3 linked regions of the Arabidopsis thaliana genome follow. The protein of the gene in region 2 interacts with the protein of the main gene of each other region in a pairwise test. Each region holds a gene or a part of one and is shown on either strand. Other genes may lie near its edges.

What was found.
Region 1: the proteins of MYB90 (region 2) and SPA4 interact in a two-hybrid assay, tested with the Arabidopsis thaliana proteins (one study listed by BioGRID).
Region 3: the proteins of MYB90 (region 2) and SPA1 interact in a two-hybrid assay, tested with the Arabidopsis thaliana proteins (one study listed by BioGRID).

Annotation. Positions count from the first base shown.
Region 1 is NC_003070.9:19,781,566-19,787,425, reverse strand, and holds SPA4 (SPA1-related 4), read right to left. Parts: upstream 4,242-5,860; 5' UTR 3,856-4,241; exon of another isoform or gene 3,743-3,855; 5' UTR 3,679-3,742; coding exon 3,058-3,678; intron 2,982-3,057; exon of another isoform or gene 2,971-2,981; coding exon 2,813-2,970; intron 2,717-2,812; coding exon 1,819-2,716; intron 1,734-1,818; coding exon 1,587-1,733; coding exon of another isoform or gene 1,562-1,586; intron 1,482-1,561; coding exon 1,170-1,481; intron 1,079-1,169; coding exon 1,019-1,078; intron 925-1,018; coding exon 736-924; 3' UTR 524-735; downstream 1-523. Other genes in the region: AT1G53100 (Core-2/I-branching beta-1,6-N-acetylglucosaminyltransferase family protein), read left to right, coding at 1-436; AT1G53080 (Legume lectin family protein), read right to left, coding at 5,207-5,860. UniProt on the Arabidopsis thaliana protein: Repressor of photomorphogenesis in the light. Probably part of the COP1/SPA E3 ubiquitin-protein ligase complex.
Region 2 is NC_003070.9:24,762,392-24,766,054, reverse strand, and holds MYB90 (myb domain protein 90), read right to left. Parts: upstream 2,115-3,663; 5' UTR 2,004-2,114; coding exon 1,883-2,003; intron 1,366-1,882; coding exon 1,236-1,365; intron 1,154-1,235; coding exon 655-1,153; 3' UTR 514-654; downstream 1-513. UniProt on the Arabidopsis thaliana protein: Transcription activator, when associated with BHLH12/MYC1, EGL3, or GL3. Promotes the synthesis of phenylpropanoid-derived compounds such as anthocyanins.
Region 3 is NC_003071.7:19,021,631-19,029,521, reverse strand, and holds SPA1 (SPA (suppressor of phyA-105) protein family), read left to right. Parts: upstream 1-1,993; 5' UTR 1,994-2,360; exon of another isoform or gene 2,361-2,555; intron 2,556-2,642; 5' UTR 2,643-2,700; coding exon 2,701-4,104; intron 4,105-4,405; coding exon 4,406-4,563; intron 4,564-4,815; coding exon 4,816-5,626; intron 5,627-5,828; coding exon 5,829-5,975; intron 5,976-6,133; coding exon 6,134-6,451; intron 6,452-6,538; coding exon 6,539-6,598; intron 6,599-6,758; coding exon 6,759-6,950; 3' UTR 6,951-7,368; downstream 7,369-7,891. Other genes in the region: AT2G46360 (uncharacterized protein), read right to left, coding at 722-1,015. UniProt on the Arabidopsis thaliana protein: Controls normal photoperiodic flowering and regulates circadian rhythms. Required for suppression of photomorphogenesis in dark-grown seedlings and for normal elongation growth of adult plants.

The DNA.
Region 1 (5,860 bases), 5.0 Mb from region 2:
AAGAACTTTACTCATGTACTACACCAATTTCGTTTCTTCTCCTGAAGGTTACTTCCATACAGTCATATGTAACGTGCCTGAGTTCTCCAAAACCGCGGTGAACCATGATCTTCACTACATCGCATGGGACAAGCCACCGAGGCAGCATCCTCGTATGTTGTCTCAAAGAGACATGGGAAAGATGATTTCGAGCGGATCTGCATTTGGTCGGAAGTTCAGAAGAAATGATACTGTTTTGGATAAGATTGATAAGGAACTGCTTATACGGATAAACGAAGACGGTTTTACTCCAGGCGGTTGGTGCGGTGGGAAACCAGAGTGCTCGGTTGTCGAAGATGTGGCTAGGATCAGGCCTAGCTCAGGGGCTGTGAGGCTCAAGGAGCTTGTAGATAGGTTAGTTACAGAGGCTAAATTAGGTAAGAATCAATGTGTATAAAGAATCAAGCAGCTTGGAGAGAATCTTGCAGTTCTATACACACCACAGCTTGATTGTATAATTCTTTTGAAGTAAATAATTATTACTTGTATGTTAAGTTGCCCACCTGTGTCATTAGGGTTTACAATAAGTACTATACAACAAATAGAAAGATATCATATATTTTTTCTATATACACAATTCTTTAGTAGCAACAATATTGTTTTCACTTTTCCTACTTTCTCTCCCAAAAATTGTTTCCTATACCAATCCAAACCCTGGAATATTACCATTTTGCTTCTGAGCCACTTTATATTGGTTCATACCATCTCCAAAATCTTGATATTGCCGGTGGAGTTTGCAGCAACTAAGGTCGACGACTGTCCCCGCCAGCAGACTGAGGATATGAACTGCGAGGCATCGTCTACTTCGAGTTCCGACACAGGGTCTATAGTTTTGAACTTGTACGACAAAACCGGCATTGGAAATGCCTTGTGGTACACAAAAACCTGTCCAGTGAAGCACACGAAATTCACGGTTTTTATTGACAAATGGGATCAACAGTTCTTCTTTTGTATATTTATGAAGTGAGAGTAGACATACCTCGTTAGTCTCAGAGCCTGTTGCTATATACCCGTCAGAGACTGATAATCCAACAAAGTTCTACACACAATGCAAGAACAGAAATGTATTTGTAATCTCATAAAGCAAACTTGAAATGAAGCAATAGAAACGAATCTCGAAAAAAATATACCTTAACATTAGTGTGTCCCATGAATGAGTGAAGAGGCGTTTCATTAATACCGGAAATAGACATTGATAAGTCCCATAGCTTCAGCGTGTTATCCGTCGAAGAAGAAACAAGTGTTGATGAATCTACAAATCTAACATAACTCACGGTCTTGTGGTGACCAATCATTGTGCAAAGAGGAAGCTTGGGGTTCCTTAGATCATAGTAGTAAACTTTGTGATCTGCTGAGCCAAATGCTAAAGACCGACCCGTCTCTGATGGAAACTGAACACAACATATGTTTGCCTTTGTCTTGATGGTTCCAATACTAACCCCCTGAAACAGAGGAAAACGAACTCAACCGTTAAAAACACATCCCTCAAAAGAACTATTCTCGCATTTCCGAGCATAAATACGTTTTGGTTTAGTTTCGAAGTTTGCCTGATTGATACTCCAGAGCTTAACCGAACCATCATCACTACCACTAGCTAACAATGTTGGATCTGCTGATGAATAATCGATGGACCATACACGCTTCTCATGCTCCTTCATCTCTGTAACCAACTGGTTTCTTGCAACATCCCAAACCTATGAAAATATTAGCCTTAGTTATAAGATTTTTTTTCATACTTTTCATTGATTAATAAGGTTGAGAGTTTTCTTCTGAACTTACTTGAACCACGCCTTCAAAGTTACTTGATGCGACTTGGCTCTTAATGTAACTGTTCCAACATATACCACTAAGCTTAGACCGGCTAGCAAGTTCCACAACAGGGTAATGAATGTCCCGGCCATCTTTTATTATCGACTCGCATTCGAATATCTTGATCTTTTTGTTGACGCCTGCCGTGGCGAAAAACTCTCCATCACGATCAAACCCAATTGCGCAAACAAGGTTAGACGAGTTCAACAAGTCTCCTTGCTTCAAATCTGCTTTCACTCTTAGCTTACTAAAAGACAAATACTTGCACAAACCCTCGAGGAATGGATCGATCCACCCGCCTTGTCTAGAATCATTGATAGGATCTTTTGATGGTTGGCTCATTGAACTCTTTTCTGAACTTCTACCGTTACAACTCAATGCCGAATAATATCTAGCCAACGGTTTTTCAGCAGCAGTAGCAGCCTTGATTTGTCTGTATCGTGTTGCAAAGTAGACTGATTCCAGTTTCTTCAAATTTCTCATTAATCTAGAGCTTTCAAGAAGTGTACTTTCTAGAGTATCATCAAGCTTAGATTCCTCATCAATGCTATTATCATCATTTTCTTCCTCTGCTGCAGTGGTCTCAGCTCCTTGTCTAATCCGTTTTCTTGAGGCTAAGAACGAACGGACATCTCTCCCTTTTTGCTGTAAAACCAACTGTCGCTTTACGACTTGATCGATATCAGAAGAGAGAAGCGATATTGTATCCTGCAATTTGTCTGCAGCTTCTTGTTTCCTCTGTTGAATCAGAAACAAGAACTCGAGTAATAACTCTTGTTCCTCGATTCTATCCCGTAGCTCCATTGCAGCTTCACGTTCTTCCAAATTCTCTCTAGGTTCGTTGATAAACTCACTTTGTAGCAACTCACTGCAAAAGTAAAGACAAAGGAGACAATACTCTTAATTAAAGGACAAAACTTTTCCAATTGAAACTAAAAACATCAAAGAGAGAATCAATCATCACCTCATCGATGGTCGACAGCTAGGCTCAGGATGCAGTAACCACAAGCAAAAGGAAGCTTCTTTAGGCCAATTGAGTAATATCTGAGGGGGAAGAACACGATGTCTTAAACTAGACATAGTTCTTGACTTCTCTTCTCTTGAGGAGACAGGGCAGAATAGCTGCACAAAGACTAACATTCATCAAATCAGTTTTCTCAAGAAAACAAAGCAGTTAAGAACAAAAATCAAATCTTCTTACGCACAAACCTCAAAGAGAAGAACACCAAGACGGTAAATATCAGAAGCACAATTACACAGAGAACCATTATCTTCTTCATGACTTGTATACCAACTCATCTCCATTGCTAATATCTGTTTCATAGGGAAAGGTTGCTTCTTTACTTCCTCTTGTTGTTTGCTTCGTCTCTCTGATAGAATCTCCTCTTGTCTCGAGCTACCAATCTCTCGAGACTTTGTTGTTGCATCCTCATCAGACCCGGAATCCGAACAAGAAGCGGATTCGATAAACGAAACATTGTTAAACGAAGACATAACGAAACAAGAAGGCCTAACATTATGAACAACAATGCCTTGAGAGTGAGCTGCATTAACAATCTCAACAATCTGTCTGAAAACATGAAAACACTCAAAGGCATCAACGGATCGGTCTGGATTGTCTAACCACTGACGCAAGCTAACATCCTCACATTCCAAAGCTCTGACAATAGAGTCATCATCAAGTCCTCCCAAGTTAGCTTCTTTATGTGAACCAAGTAAGCTTCTGACATAATCAATGTGAGACAAAGACTTAGAACCATCTGTACAAAACTCTGAAACACCAGAGGTGTTGTTTAATCCTCTGGAACTAGATTCTGAAGAACCCTTCATTGATTACCAAACAAACTCCTCTGGATTCTGCAATACTTCATTTCATGATCCCAGCCCAAAAGCCCTAAGTTAGAATCGAAATAAAGTAAAGAAATTTAGAACGAAAGTTAAGATTTTTAAAAGACCCTTTGACAGAAAACACCAAAACCAGAAAATATATTCGAATAAAAATGCAACCTTTGATTACATAAAGAGACAAACACGAGGAAGCTTCTTGACCACTAAACTCTCTCTATATATAAAAGAAAAGCGAAGAAGAAGATAAGAAGAAGAAGAAGTACTTGAGAGACTAAGAGGCACCGAAGAAACGATCCTTTTTTGAGAACCACACATCGCAAAAACTGAGTTCGTAGAAAAGCAATAATCAGATTCATAAAAATTAAATTCTCGGCTAAGAGAAATCTATTTTGGGCCTACGATTTTTACTTCACAGTGAGGGTTTTATTTTTCGCTTTTTGATAATCTTCACTTCTCTTCTCTTTCCACGCAAGCAACGTGGTTAAACGACGACCTAGGAATCAAAAGAACGTAAAGCTAAAACCTTTTTCGTATTTTGGTTTTGGGCCATATATGTAAATATAAGTAAACCATGAGGTCAAAGTGAATTTTGTTCTTTTTTGAAGTGACCAATTTTCTTCAAGAGGAATGTTTAAATTATGTTGTGGTCCAAATAATATAACACATTTTTGTAAGGCTATAATAGGAATTTAAAATGACCAAAATAATTTTTGAATAACATATTTGAAGCCTTATTACAAGAGAAAGTACCTAAAGAAATGATTGTACTTTGAAAATCTTGAATGAGAAAAACAAAATTGTTTGTATTATTGGTTTTGGTGAAAGGAAAGAGAATGTATTGGTGGGAGCATTTAATAACCAGAGGGGAGTTTCCATTTCCATGGAATGGATTGAGACAAGTCGACAACGTAAGTGGTAAATTACAAAATCACATGCGTCCGGACACGCCACGTGTTTTTTCTTTTTCTATGATTAGATTACATACACAAATTTATCAATGAAAAAAAAAAAAAAACTCTGTTTTTTTATTGAAACCAAACCATCTGAAATGTAATGCAAGATTTTTGTAGAAAATGATACGACCTAGAAACTGTGATAGCTTTAACCTTATATATCGTGGATTTGTCAATATTTTAGTTTTAAATTTTAGTAATATCTTTTAAAAACTTATGTTAAGAAACTTGTGACATGAACAAACTGATTCAATTTGATGAGGACGATGACCACAATACCACGTGGTTGTGCTTTGGCTTTTAACGAGTCTTTATTTATACAAAATCAATGATGCATGTCCAAGAAGATCATTGACGGTGATGGTCCGGGACAGTGTGCATGTTTTCTTCTCAGGATTTTTTTTAATGGTTTAATCGATCAAAGTAATTTTAAATTTGATTTTGACATTTTATACGTACTCTCTTTTTAACCACTTTTGAATAAAAATCAAGAGAAAATACATAATTGTTAAACCGGTAACAAACATAAATCAAACCAAACAAGACCAAAATCAGAACTAATTGTTTTTGGCGGTGTTCTCAAAACTCCAGCTCCAAATGTCGTGACGCTCGACGCCACGACCCATCGAACCGGAAAAGCCGGTATACATAGTCTCAAGAACCACCTCCGAGAGATCAACTTGTGTTTCGATCAATGGCCTCTTCGGTTTCTTTAAATGCGCAGGTGCAAGCCAAACAATGACTTTACTGTTCTTATACTCAATCCAAGCTTTGTAGTTGTCTCCGCTACTAAGCTTCACTTCCTTAAACAACCATTGATTCTTCCCTCTAGTTCTTGTCTGAATCCAATACCCAGCTTTCTCAGAAACCTTTGAGTTAACAGAGTTAATATTAACACCAACATGATTATCATTAATATCACCAAAACGTTTGTCTTGGAAAACATCGAATTCGACCGCAAAGAGATGGTTATTAGGATTGCCATTGGTTGTGAGGTTAACTAGACCGAGGAAGCCGCGGGTTGAGTCTTGGTCGTACTCGTAGGCTACGGTTGGGACCACGATGAAGGCGATACCATGACCAGGGTTAGGGTTTGACCGTCGAGGAGTGATGGAGAAAGTGAAAGATGTTTTGAAAGAGTAAACAGAAGAAGATGTGTTGTTGGAAGATTTGAATGGGATTGGATCTGTGTAGAGACCTTGACCATGTGA
Region 2 (3,663 bases):
GCAAACATAATCAATAATTAATATATGATTTCATATAACTACTCTAATTAATTCAGGAGAGTGGTGTGTGTCTGTGTGTGTGTGGTGGGGGGGGGGGGGGAGGGAAACAATTACAAGTACTACAATAGTACATTGTCATTTATTTGTTGCAGAACGAATAGTGTATCCATTTTTCCTAACCCTACTTGCTTCCATTATTGTATCAATCAAATAATTTTTGTAAGATAATATTAAATAATTATGTTTACTACTGTACTTAAACTAGCTATTATTTTAACGGTTAGACCAAACAGATCTTAATTATAACTTTCTTATGCTTGTGAAATACCACATTACCATACAACCTTCCACCATGTCTACTTGCCATAAGACATATCTTTCATGGTTAAAACTTTCTTATGCTTTTGAATTTTCTATGGTTAGGTTGAGTGATATTTTAACAAACATTATCACCTTTAACTTTAGTTAGAAAATACTGCATTTAGGAAAATACTGTATTTTCTTTGCGAAAAATATAAATAACGTTTTTTTTTATTACGTAGAAACATAACCATTTTTCTTAAAATGCTGAAATTCTTTACTTCATACAGAAAAATACATTACTAAAATACGAAAGAAAAGCCACCCACAATCTTAAACAAACGGTGAGAAACACTAATCAAGTTCAACAGTCTCTCCATCAAACAGACTCCAAAGTTGCTCAACGTCAAACGCCAAAGTGGCCCCATGTTCAGCTGTCGTCGCTTCAGGAACAATCGCATCAGCTTCTTGGTTTTCCCCCAGTAAATTCTCCAACCACATATTATCTCCATTCATTAGATTATTCACAAAATCATCTTTCTCATCATCTTTGTTACATGTGATACTATTTTCACAAACATTATTTTTCTTGAGTCCAAGGCATGAAGGAATTAAATCAACTTCTGGCAGACCATTGAGATGGCTGCAACCATTGTTAACAGAGAAGGATCGAGGTCGAGGCTTAAAAACACCGATTTTTTGGACCGGTGTTGTAGGAGGGGAAATAATGTTTTTCTTTTTCATTTTAGACTTACAACACGAAGACTCATGTTTTTTACTCAGATGGGTGTTCCAGTAATTTTTGACATCATTAGCGGTCCGACCAGGCAATCGACCAGCAATCAAGGACCACCTAAACATTGTTAAATAATATACATATAAGTTATTAGTGTTGAACTTATGGCTCTTGAAATAACCATTAAAGTAAACAATACCTATTTCCTAGAAGCTTATGAAGGCGAAGAAGAAGATCAACTTCATCATTGCTAAGTCTTCCTCTCTTGATACTTGGCTTCAAATAGTTCAACCATCTTAGTCTACAACTCTTTCTGCATCGATTTAGCCCTACATAACCAATAGTTGACATTAATTATACCAACCAAGACGGCTTTTGGGTCATTTTCTATGTTTCATCTTGAAGAATCTAAGCACACCAATAGAAAGATTAAACTGTTTCAACACAGTAACCGTTTGTTCATAAATTTTCACTGACTTCACTCACCAGAAGACAGCCCAGTGAAATAGTTTAACAACTTTACATGAGCTTAGCATCTTCCTTGTTTGTGAAGAATAAGCTATATATATATATATATATATATATATATATATATATATGCTACGTAAATAAAAAATAGTATAACTTTTTTATTTATATAAAACTCTTCGTTTAAATAAACTGCATAAAGAATTATTCTGAATAACCAGTTGTTTTTTTTGTTTTTTTTTGTTTTACCATACACTAGCATATGAATCAATAATTTGCTCCTTAAAACAAAAAGAAAAGTAAAATAAAGATTTCCGAATATTATATATAGAGAAGAGAATATTCTTAGTCATGAATATATCTGTGTGTGTAACATACCAGCTCTCAAAGGAACTTGATGCCATTTGCCTTCTCCATACTTATCAATACATAGCCTCAAGAGACTATCTTCTTCAGCAGTCCATGCACCTTTCCTCAACCCTTTGGACGAACCCTCCATGGACCAAAGAAAAATTAATATAAAAGTATTTTATCGGATTATTCTAAAACTTTTTTAAAAAAGGCCGAGGAATAGGGGGTTATTGTGGCTTCCCAAATCCTGGGAGGACTTATTGATAATGTGAGCATGTGAGCGAATAGGTATATATATACACGTGAAGGGCATAGGAAAATGACGTGCATGTTTGATATCCACATTTCATGTATTTGCGGTTCTGCTTAATTTACTAAGTTATTGTTTGATTTGACTAGAGAAAAAGTTCATAGCACCTTTTCCAGTACTTAAGAAAAACAAATTACACGTTTCTTATCAAAATTAGGAGAAAGGACTAGTAATGATTGGTCTCAGAGGGTTCATGATTACAAGGAAGAGTTATTTCATGCACGAGAAATAGAACAAAATAAAAAAAATAGGGTGCACCTTCTTACAAAAACTTTTGGAGTATTTTTCTTTACTGAAAATTTTGCAAATAATGTTCACAAACTCATATTTCGTCTTATCATTGTTACATGTGAATCTGATACCACCATATTTGTTAATGCTTACTTTGAAAGAGCTAACTTCTGGCTGCCCGTTGAGCCGGCCGTTATAGAATTGAGTTCGAGGCTTTATAACATTGAGTCTTTGGATCGGTGACGTAGCTGAACATGTAGTTTCCCTCTTTCTCATTCTGCTCTTACAACACGGTTCTTCTTTCTTGTTGAGATGGGTGTTCCGGTAATTCTTGACATTATTAGCGATCCGACCAGGCAATCTACCGGCAATCGGTGACCATCTAAGCTTGCATTGGAACAAGTTGTATTGGATAATTACATTATGTAAATAAATTAGATTTGTGTGTGAGGAATATAAACTTGTGTCTAATCAATATAAGTGACTCAATAGTTTACAACAATAGTATATATACCAGCTCTTAAAGGAACTTGATGCCATTTGCCTTCTCCATACTTATCAATGCACTGCCTCAGAGACTATCTTCTTCACCATCCCATGTACCTTTCTTCAACTCAGTGGACGAAGAAGCCTCCATGAACCAAAGATAATCACTAAAAGTATCACAACCAAATTATTTAAAAACTTATAAGTAAATTGCTGATGAAGAGGGTATACATACTATGGCTTACACAAATCCTTGAAAGACATTTGACAATGAGAGTATGTGAGCTATTATATATGTACAAGAAGAGCGTGCATGTTTGATATCCACATTTCATGTCAATATGCAATGATCGATTGCTTCCGTGGTTGCAAAGAGAACAAATTTTCCAAGCATGAAACACATAGCCATTGTGCTTCTAATATCTTCCATGCTTCCAGCCCAATTCATTTCTGGATTTGAAATACAACCCCAAGCTTGTGGTCCATTTAATGTAGCGTATAAATCGCTTAGCCTGCTTGAAGTAAAACATCTTGGGCTACTCATGTGCCGTGATAGATAGCTTATTTGCATAAGCAATACCTAGTCGTGTAGTTATCCGATAGAAGCGACTTCAATTCCCACAATAATTTGATACTCCCTTTCATCTGCCAATCTTTTTTCATTTCTATTTTATACTTTTTCACATTCTTTTTTGTCTCGACATCGTCGACCTCTTTTGGTCTCCACTAGTTGTTACTACTATATATGTAACTCTCAATGTAACATACAAGCTAAACCAAA
Region 3 (7,891 bases), on a different chromosome or scaffold from region 2:
AAATTTTTATTCGAAATTTAATTTTATAGATTATGCTGATTATCAGTTTGGGTTTTATTTCCAAGTTCACATGTTGAGAGAATACAAAAACAAAACAAAGCTAAAGGGATTATATATGGATTAGGTTGTGGATGTCAACTAGTTATTAAAATAATGTTAGATTAAGGGATAGATTAGGTAAAGGTAAGTAGCTGTTAATCATGTTAAATATTATTATTTTAGGTTGTGGTTCGTCTAAAAGGAATCTCCCTATGATTTACGAATCCGAAATAGAGAGAGGAGGATTTTCATGTTATTGTGGTGGAGGAGCTAGGGTCGTGTCAATGCTGCTTTTGGTTCATTGTTTAAGAACAATGATCATAACACGATAAGATTGATGAATGAAACGTTTCTATCTGATATACCACACAAATTTAACTAAGCATCACAAATCCGAATTAGAGCAGAGAAAATAATACAACATGTTGCTGGTTAGGTTGAAACATTGAATTTGCATCTCTTCTATAGTTGATACAAGATTGGATACATCTTCGTTACAAAGCGAATACTTGCTTACATTTAATTACGCCAAAAAATCTCTTCATTTTCATCTTTTACAGTTAATTAATAATGAAAAGATCTGTTCATCTTTATATATAGTGATCAATAACAAAAAAATTTGAATCCAATAAATATAATTGAACTCAGGTTCTGGGGGCAATCACAAGTCAGTCATGCGCCTTCACATTTTCCTGTAATGCCTGAATTCTTTAGCCATGGGCTGAAGCACGTGAGTCCTTTTCTCCATCAACTTTGTATCCTTCATAAACCTCTTGTTTGCACGTGCTCTAGATTCACGAGCCTCGTGTGCAACATGGTCTCTTCTCTCTTTCTCCAAACCATTCTCATCTTCCTTCTTCGTAGAAAGCTGAGAGAGAAGCACCACCATGAGATTTACCTCCATCAGAGAAGTTTTCTCGTCTTCTCTTTTCTCCTCCGCATCATGTTTACGATTGGCTTCGCGAGACGAATCCATAAACCCAAAAAGAAGACCCAAAAATGATACAATTATTGGGAGCTATTAGTCCCTAAATTAGCCCGTCTTTTGGACAAAATTTTTATCTTCTTCTTTTTTTTTTCTTGTGGTCATTCATAGTAACTAATTAAATCAATTTGCAATTTTTTGAGTGGTATTGGTATATTTTCCATCTTAAAGACTCGATGGTAGAGAAATAAGATTCCTAAATTCATTAGTCACAAGATCGACCAATTTTTATTTTTATTTTTCTTATCTCAAATGTTTCGTTTTGAGAACAACCAAACATTTAACCATTGATAAAATTGGCCAATGGCTAAAATGAATGCCTTTTCATTGTTTTTTTGACATCCTAAAATAAATGCTTAACTAATGGGTTTATGGAAAACAAAAGTTGTGTCCAAGTTATAAGCGAAGCAGCCCATAAAAGTATTAAAATGGGCTGAGCCCAATAACTGATAGGTGGAGTATATTAGTTTAAATTGTGTTTGTTGTACAAAGTTTCCCAAATGGGTTTCCAAAATGGGCTGAGCCCAAAAAGTGTTGTTATAGGTGAGGGTATATTAGTTTATTCGCAAAAAAAGCGTGGCTTAATAATCTCCACATCTTTCACGTGACCCCCCTCGAATGGCGAATAGATTAAGCGACGTCGACGTGTTTTAATCTCCTCCTCTTAACAAATATCCCTAAAGATTACTTCCCCCATGCAACACTCTTAATACCCACGCTTTTCCTCTTTATTTACCATCCTACCCCTATACTCACACATATCGTTTAACCAGAGAGGAAAAACCTGAGTGGCATAATCCGTAAATAAGACCAAAAAACAGGACCATCTCTAAAGCTGATGTCACTAATCAAAAGATTATGAACGTAATCTCGTGTCATAATCCTTTTGACCTCTTACTTAAACAAAACAAGTATAATAATTGGGCAGCCAAAATAAAAAATCTTTCTCTCTTTTTGCTATAAAGTAATGAAAAAATTAAATAAAATAATGTTCAAAAAATTGTCCGCCAGAATAAAGAAAATTTGATATGTGGCTTCAAAGCCTAAATTAATCATTAAAATAAAAAATCAGAAAATAAGGAATGAAGAACGAATTGTGCAAAAGTCTATAGAGAAAGAGAGATTCATTTGTGTTTCTTCGACTATACACAGAATACAAAAGAGATATTATATGTAATTATCAATAGTATATGACAAATTTATAGCCTCACCTTTCTTCTTCTTCTTCTTCTTCTTCTGTGTGTTTTTGAATTTGCTTTCTTCAAGAGGTTTCTTCTCCACACCGCTTCGGTGTATGATCTGATTGTGATCTCTCTCGATATCTGGGATCTTCGGGGTAAGCGATTTGATTTTTGTGTATTTCTCGTTTCTCGTAATCTTCATGATTGGTTTTAATAGTTTGCTGCGATTTTACATAATCTTCTTCTGTTTTGATTAGCTACTTTAGATTACAGCTAATGATACGTTTCGGGATTAGTGATTATTGTATGTTTAACTAGTTTTAGAATCTCTACATGCATGAATTTACTAGGTAGGGCTTCTTTCTTCTTCTTCTTCTTCTTCTTCTTCATTTTGTTGGTTTGATTCTGATTTGTTTTTGTATTGTATATGATTTAAGGTATGGAGGCTGTAGATTATTATTATTATTACGTGTGGTGCTGATGCAATGAGTGTTGATGCCTGTTATGGAAAGAGTAGCTGAAGAAACTGTGGCGACTAACAACATACAATTGAAAGCACGAGTGGATGATGTTCCTTGTAATAAGCTTGATGCTCGTCATAACGATATGGTGATTCAATCAGAAACTGCAAACAGTGATTGTCCTGGAAGCTCAGCTCACAGGAATGTTGATTTGACTAAGCCGCCGCCTCCTGAGGAAGCCGCAGGAGCTAAGCTTTCTGTTGAAGAGTTGACATTGGGGAACTACAGGATTGTTCAAGGGAGTAATAATACTAATGTGGATAGTCCTAGGGCTGGCAAGTTTGAGCATCTTTATCGTTTGGCTAGAGGGTCTGCTTTTAGGGCAGGAGATGGGGATCTTGATTCTCAACCTCGTGATATGGATCAAATGTTGTCCAGAATCAGACAACAGCTTGCTGGAGCTCCTTCTGAGAGGCAAAACTTGAAACCTTTTATGTCTAGGAGGAGCGATCAGAATCTTGAAGCTTTTTCTGAACGTCTAAGAGCAGCTGGTGAGAATAGTATTATGAATGCTCCTGCATTGATCAGTGAAGGTGTCCAAATGAAAACGCCGGTGAGTTCTTCGAATTTTTCTCAGTTGTTACTTAAAAGAGCTATGAAAGGGAAAGGGGTAGTAGGAAAGAACCAGGAAACTCCTCCTGAATTTGTCTCTGATCAAGATTTAGGAAGCAAGGAAAAAAAGTTGGATATTAGCAAGTCGCCTACTCCTCACGATGTGTTACCTCTAAAATCAAGTCCCAAAGGAAATGGTATGGTATCACATGGTGATGGGAATCATAGTAAATCTTCTATTGGAATCAGTTTGAGGGAGTTTCTTAGATCAAGTTATGCTAAAAGAGAAAAAAGACATGGCCTTTGTCTATTTAGGCAGCTGGTGGAACTGGTTGACTCAGCCCATTCAAAAAGATTATTCTTGCTAGACTTGAGACCATCCCTTTTCACTTTAGTTCCATCAAAGAAACTTAGATATATTGGTAATTTTGGAAAGAACGATCTAGAATCAGATGTTGACGAAGATTTGAATAGGAGGAGGCCTGTTGTTGAGGAATCATCTAGTGGAGGTAGGGATTCGAAGAAAAGAAAAATGGACTTGCATTTGAATTCTCCAGGGAATCAACTTCAGGCCACTTCAACCGGGCGACCTTTCAAAAGGAAAAGCCCTGTGATTGATTTAAACATGGTTGATGCACGTAATCCAGACAGTTGCGAGCTTCAACAGCAAGACTACATAAAAAATTTAAGCGTGTCTTCAGTGTCGAGAAAACAGTCTATGTCCACATGGCTAGAAGAGCAATGGTATACTTGTCCAGAGGAGATAAATGGAGAAGATATTGGAGAAAAATCAAATATTTATGCCCTTGGTGTTCTTCTGTTTGAGGTATGGACGAATACCCAGTTTTATTGTTGTGGATAGATTTTTAGTTTGCTTTAATACCAAGAAGGATGTAACATTTCCTTGCATTTGAACACTATGTACTGTCATATCCTGCTTATGTGGGCTTTGGGTAGTTTATATTCTTTCATTTTCATGAAATTTCTTACTCTAGTCTGAACTTTGAATCCCAGAGCTAGTATTTTCCAGTCTGCAGTATATAACTTGTCAGTATTTTTGTTTACTTGTTTGATACTTTCATGTGAAGACGCCTACTGACATCTAGCTTGACCAATTGTTGTTTCAGTTGCTATGCCATTGCGAGTCAGGCGAGATGCATGCTGCAATGATGGCAGATTTACGCCATCGGATTCTCCCACCAACATTTCTCTCGAAATACCCGAAGGAAGCTGGATTTTGTCTTTGGCTTCTACATCCTGAACCCTCCTCCCGACCATCAGCTAGGTATTTAGCTGAGTGCTACTCTTTTATGATTCATGTGGGCGAGTATTTACTAGGAGTCTAGGAGTGGTACAAAGGAGAATCTGTAGACCTTCCATTAGCTTAAATAGTCGTATTTAAGATTTCTTTGCCGGATATCTTCAATTTTATTTAATGTTTTCCCGCTTAATTGTGAAGAAAAAAAATGGCATGCTACTGTGTGAATTATCTTCTTGTTTCTTTTTCTGTTCTCATTCTTTTCTCTTTATGTGACAGAGATATACTAAAGTCAGAGTTGATATGCGAGGATGATTCAGTTAAATCGACTGCTGCTGCTGAGGAGATATCTGAGCTGTTACTTCATTTTTTGTCTTCATTAGAAGTGCAGAAGAAGAAAAAAGCATCTAAACTTTTGCAAGATATCCAGACCTTAGAGGATGATATTAAGGAGGCCGAGCGAAGATATTCTTCAAATGTATCTCTGGTGAGATCTCATGGAGCTATTGAAAAAAGGGTGCAATCATCTCCCCTAGACGAGCACTGTACAACTTCCAGTGCCTTGTTTGTACCAACTGCTAATACAGACAGGCTGATGAGTAATATCCGTCAACTTGAAGATGCATATTTTTTCATGCGATCACAAATCAACTTATCGAGTTCTGCTGCTACTGCCCGTTCTGACAAAACACTAAAGGACAGGGACAGATGCTCTGAAAACCAAAATGAAAATCAGGATATGAGTACCAAAGGAAAATCTTCAGATCAACTCGAAGTGTTTTTCGAGGGGTTGTGCAAATTTGCTCGGTATAGCAAGTTCGAAACCTGTGGGACAATAAGAAGTGGGGACCTTTTAAACTCTGCAAGTGTGGTCTGCTCGTTGAGTTTTGACCCTGATGAAGAACACATAGCAGCAGCTGGGATATCAAAGAAGATCAAGATTTTTGACTTCAATGCATTTATGAATGAATCTGTCGGTGTTCATTATCCACTAGTAGAGATGGTCAACAAATCTAAATTAAGCTGTGTTTGCTGGAATAGCTACATCAAAAACTACTTGGCCTCGACTGACTACGATGGTGTAGTTCAGGTACCTATCGATGTCAAGTTTGGAATCTTTCTTATTTACCATCATATGTTGCACGGTAGGATCTATAGGACTAGCCTCATGTGCTTTCTCTTCCTCTATGAGATGTGTACATGTTAATCTTGTGATAAGATAGAGATATAGAAGCGTCTATTTCATGGTTTTCACTTGCCATTTTCTTACTGTATGGTGCTAATGAATGTAGATATGGGATGCCGGCACTGGACAAGGATTTTCGCAGTACACAGAACACCAGAAGAGAGCCTGGTCAGTTGATTTTTCTCCATCTGACCCGACAAAATTTGTTAGTGGAAGTGATGACTGCTCGGTGAAGCTTTGGAGCATCAATGAGGCACTTCTCTTTCCTTTACCTCCTGATATTGCAAGAATTTTCATGTCCCCGTTGTTTTTATTACTCCAGATTATAGCTCCATAAGGCATGATTCTCTGTTTATACTTGTGAATTTCCAAATCTAGTGAAACTTATATTCTTCTCTGTTTGGTATGCAGAAACGTTCATTAGGCACAATCTGGAGTCCAGCAAATGTGTGTTGCGTGCAATTCTCTTCTTATTCCAATCACTTATTGGCATTTGGGTCAGCTGATTACAAGGTCTATTGCTATGACCTTCGGTATGTCAAAACACCTTGGTGCACATTGGCTGGTCATGAGAAAGCGGTGAGTTATGTTAAATTTATGGATTCAGAAACCATTGTTTCTGCTTCCACTGATAACTCTCTCAAGCTTTGGAATCTTAACAAGACAAATTCCTCTGGTTTATCTCCTGGTGCTTGTTCATTGACATATAAAGGACATACAAATCAGAAGGTTAGTCCCAAAAACTTTTCTATCTACCTTTAACATCTCATCCAACATCATTAGTTAGTTCTGATGTCTAATCCTTTACCTGTGCAGAATTTCGTTGGATTGTCGGTTTTGGACGGATACATAGCTTGTGGTTCAGAGACCAATGAGGTATATATCACATCATAAAACAAAATCTCAACCTTTAGAATACTTAATTTCAGATTATCAAAGGTGGTATATGTCAATCGCGTTTAGTTTGTTTATGAAGCTGCCTAAAATTAGTTGTTATAACTTACTAAAAAAACTTTACTTTGATTTTGCGTCTTAGGTATATAGTTACTATAAATCTTTACCGATGCCAATGACTTCATACAAGTTTGGATCCGTCGATCCCATTTCTGGAAACGAATACTTTGATGACAATGGACAGTTTGTGTCGAGCGTCTGTTGGAGGAAAAAATCGAATATGCTTGTAGCTGCAAACTCTACTGGAAACATGAAGCTACTAAAACTTGTTTGACAACTTGGCCTTTTCGCTACTACTGCGGGCATTGGACTTTTTGAGTCTGAAACTAGGACAAAGCAGGTCTGACTTTGAAGCAAACGTTTTTGTCCTGGAAACTATGATCCCATATGACCAGAAGAGAAAAAAAGTTCGAAATCTTGGAGAAGTTGAAGAAGCAAAACTGTCTGTGATAATATATTATTTGATTCTTCTTCCTGTAATTCTATATATATGAGATATAATTTGAGATAAACTTCTCAGATTCTTCAGAAATGATTCATATTTGGTCGGCATAACGTGTAATGATGAGAGGTATATAACTTGTACAAGTGTGTTATATCGTTAGCTCGGTTATGTAATTGTTGTTGGAGATTCTCTATAAGAGAGAAAATATATATATCATCCATTCATTTCATCGCATGGCTACTACCTCTCGTCTGCGTATTTCACAATTTATGGTTTTAGATTCAGTGTTGTTTTAGAAGAAATTCATAACAATTGCACATACGATGTTATTAGTGTGACCACCAACTTCAAGTCTCTAGGAAAACAAGTAGAATATGTCGTTGATGAAGGGCACATGGGTTAAATGTGGTTATTTTTTTCCTATTATCTATTACTATAAATCTCGAAATCATGAATTAGACATGTTCTTTGTATCTATGTCCAACATGTAATGGGTACATTGTATGTTTAAGAGTAAAACTAGGATAGGAAGATGTAATTGATTGCTTGGTGGCGTGGGTTTAGGCCTTTGAGCCAACATTTCTCTTTAGATTTGAACCCTCTGCTTTCGCGAGAGACTCTCTTTGTCTTGCGTTTTAAAAATCAAAACATTATCCTTCCTTCGAAGCAAAATCTTTAAGATTTTGGTGCTATGCCATCTCTTGCAAGTCATCTTTCACATCTGCCAGGTAAGTGTCTTTTGAGTATTCCAATTCTAACAAGTCCGGACA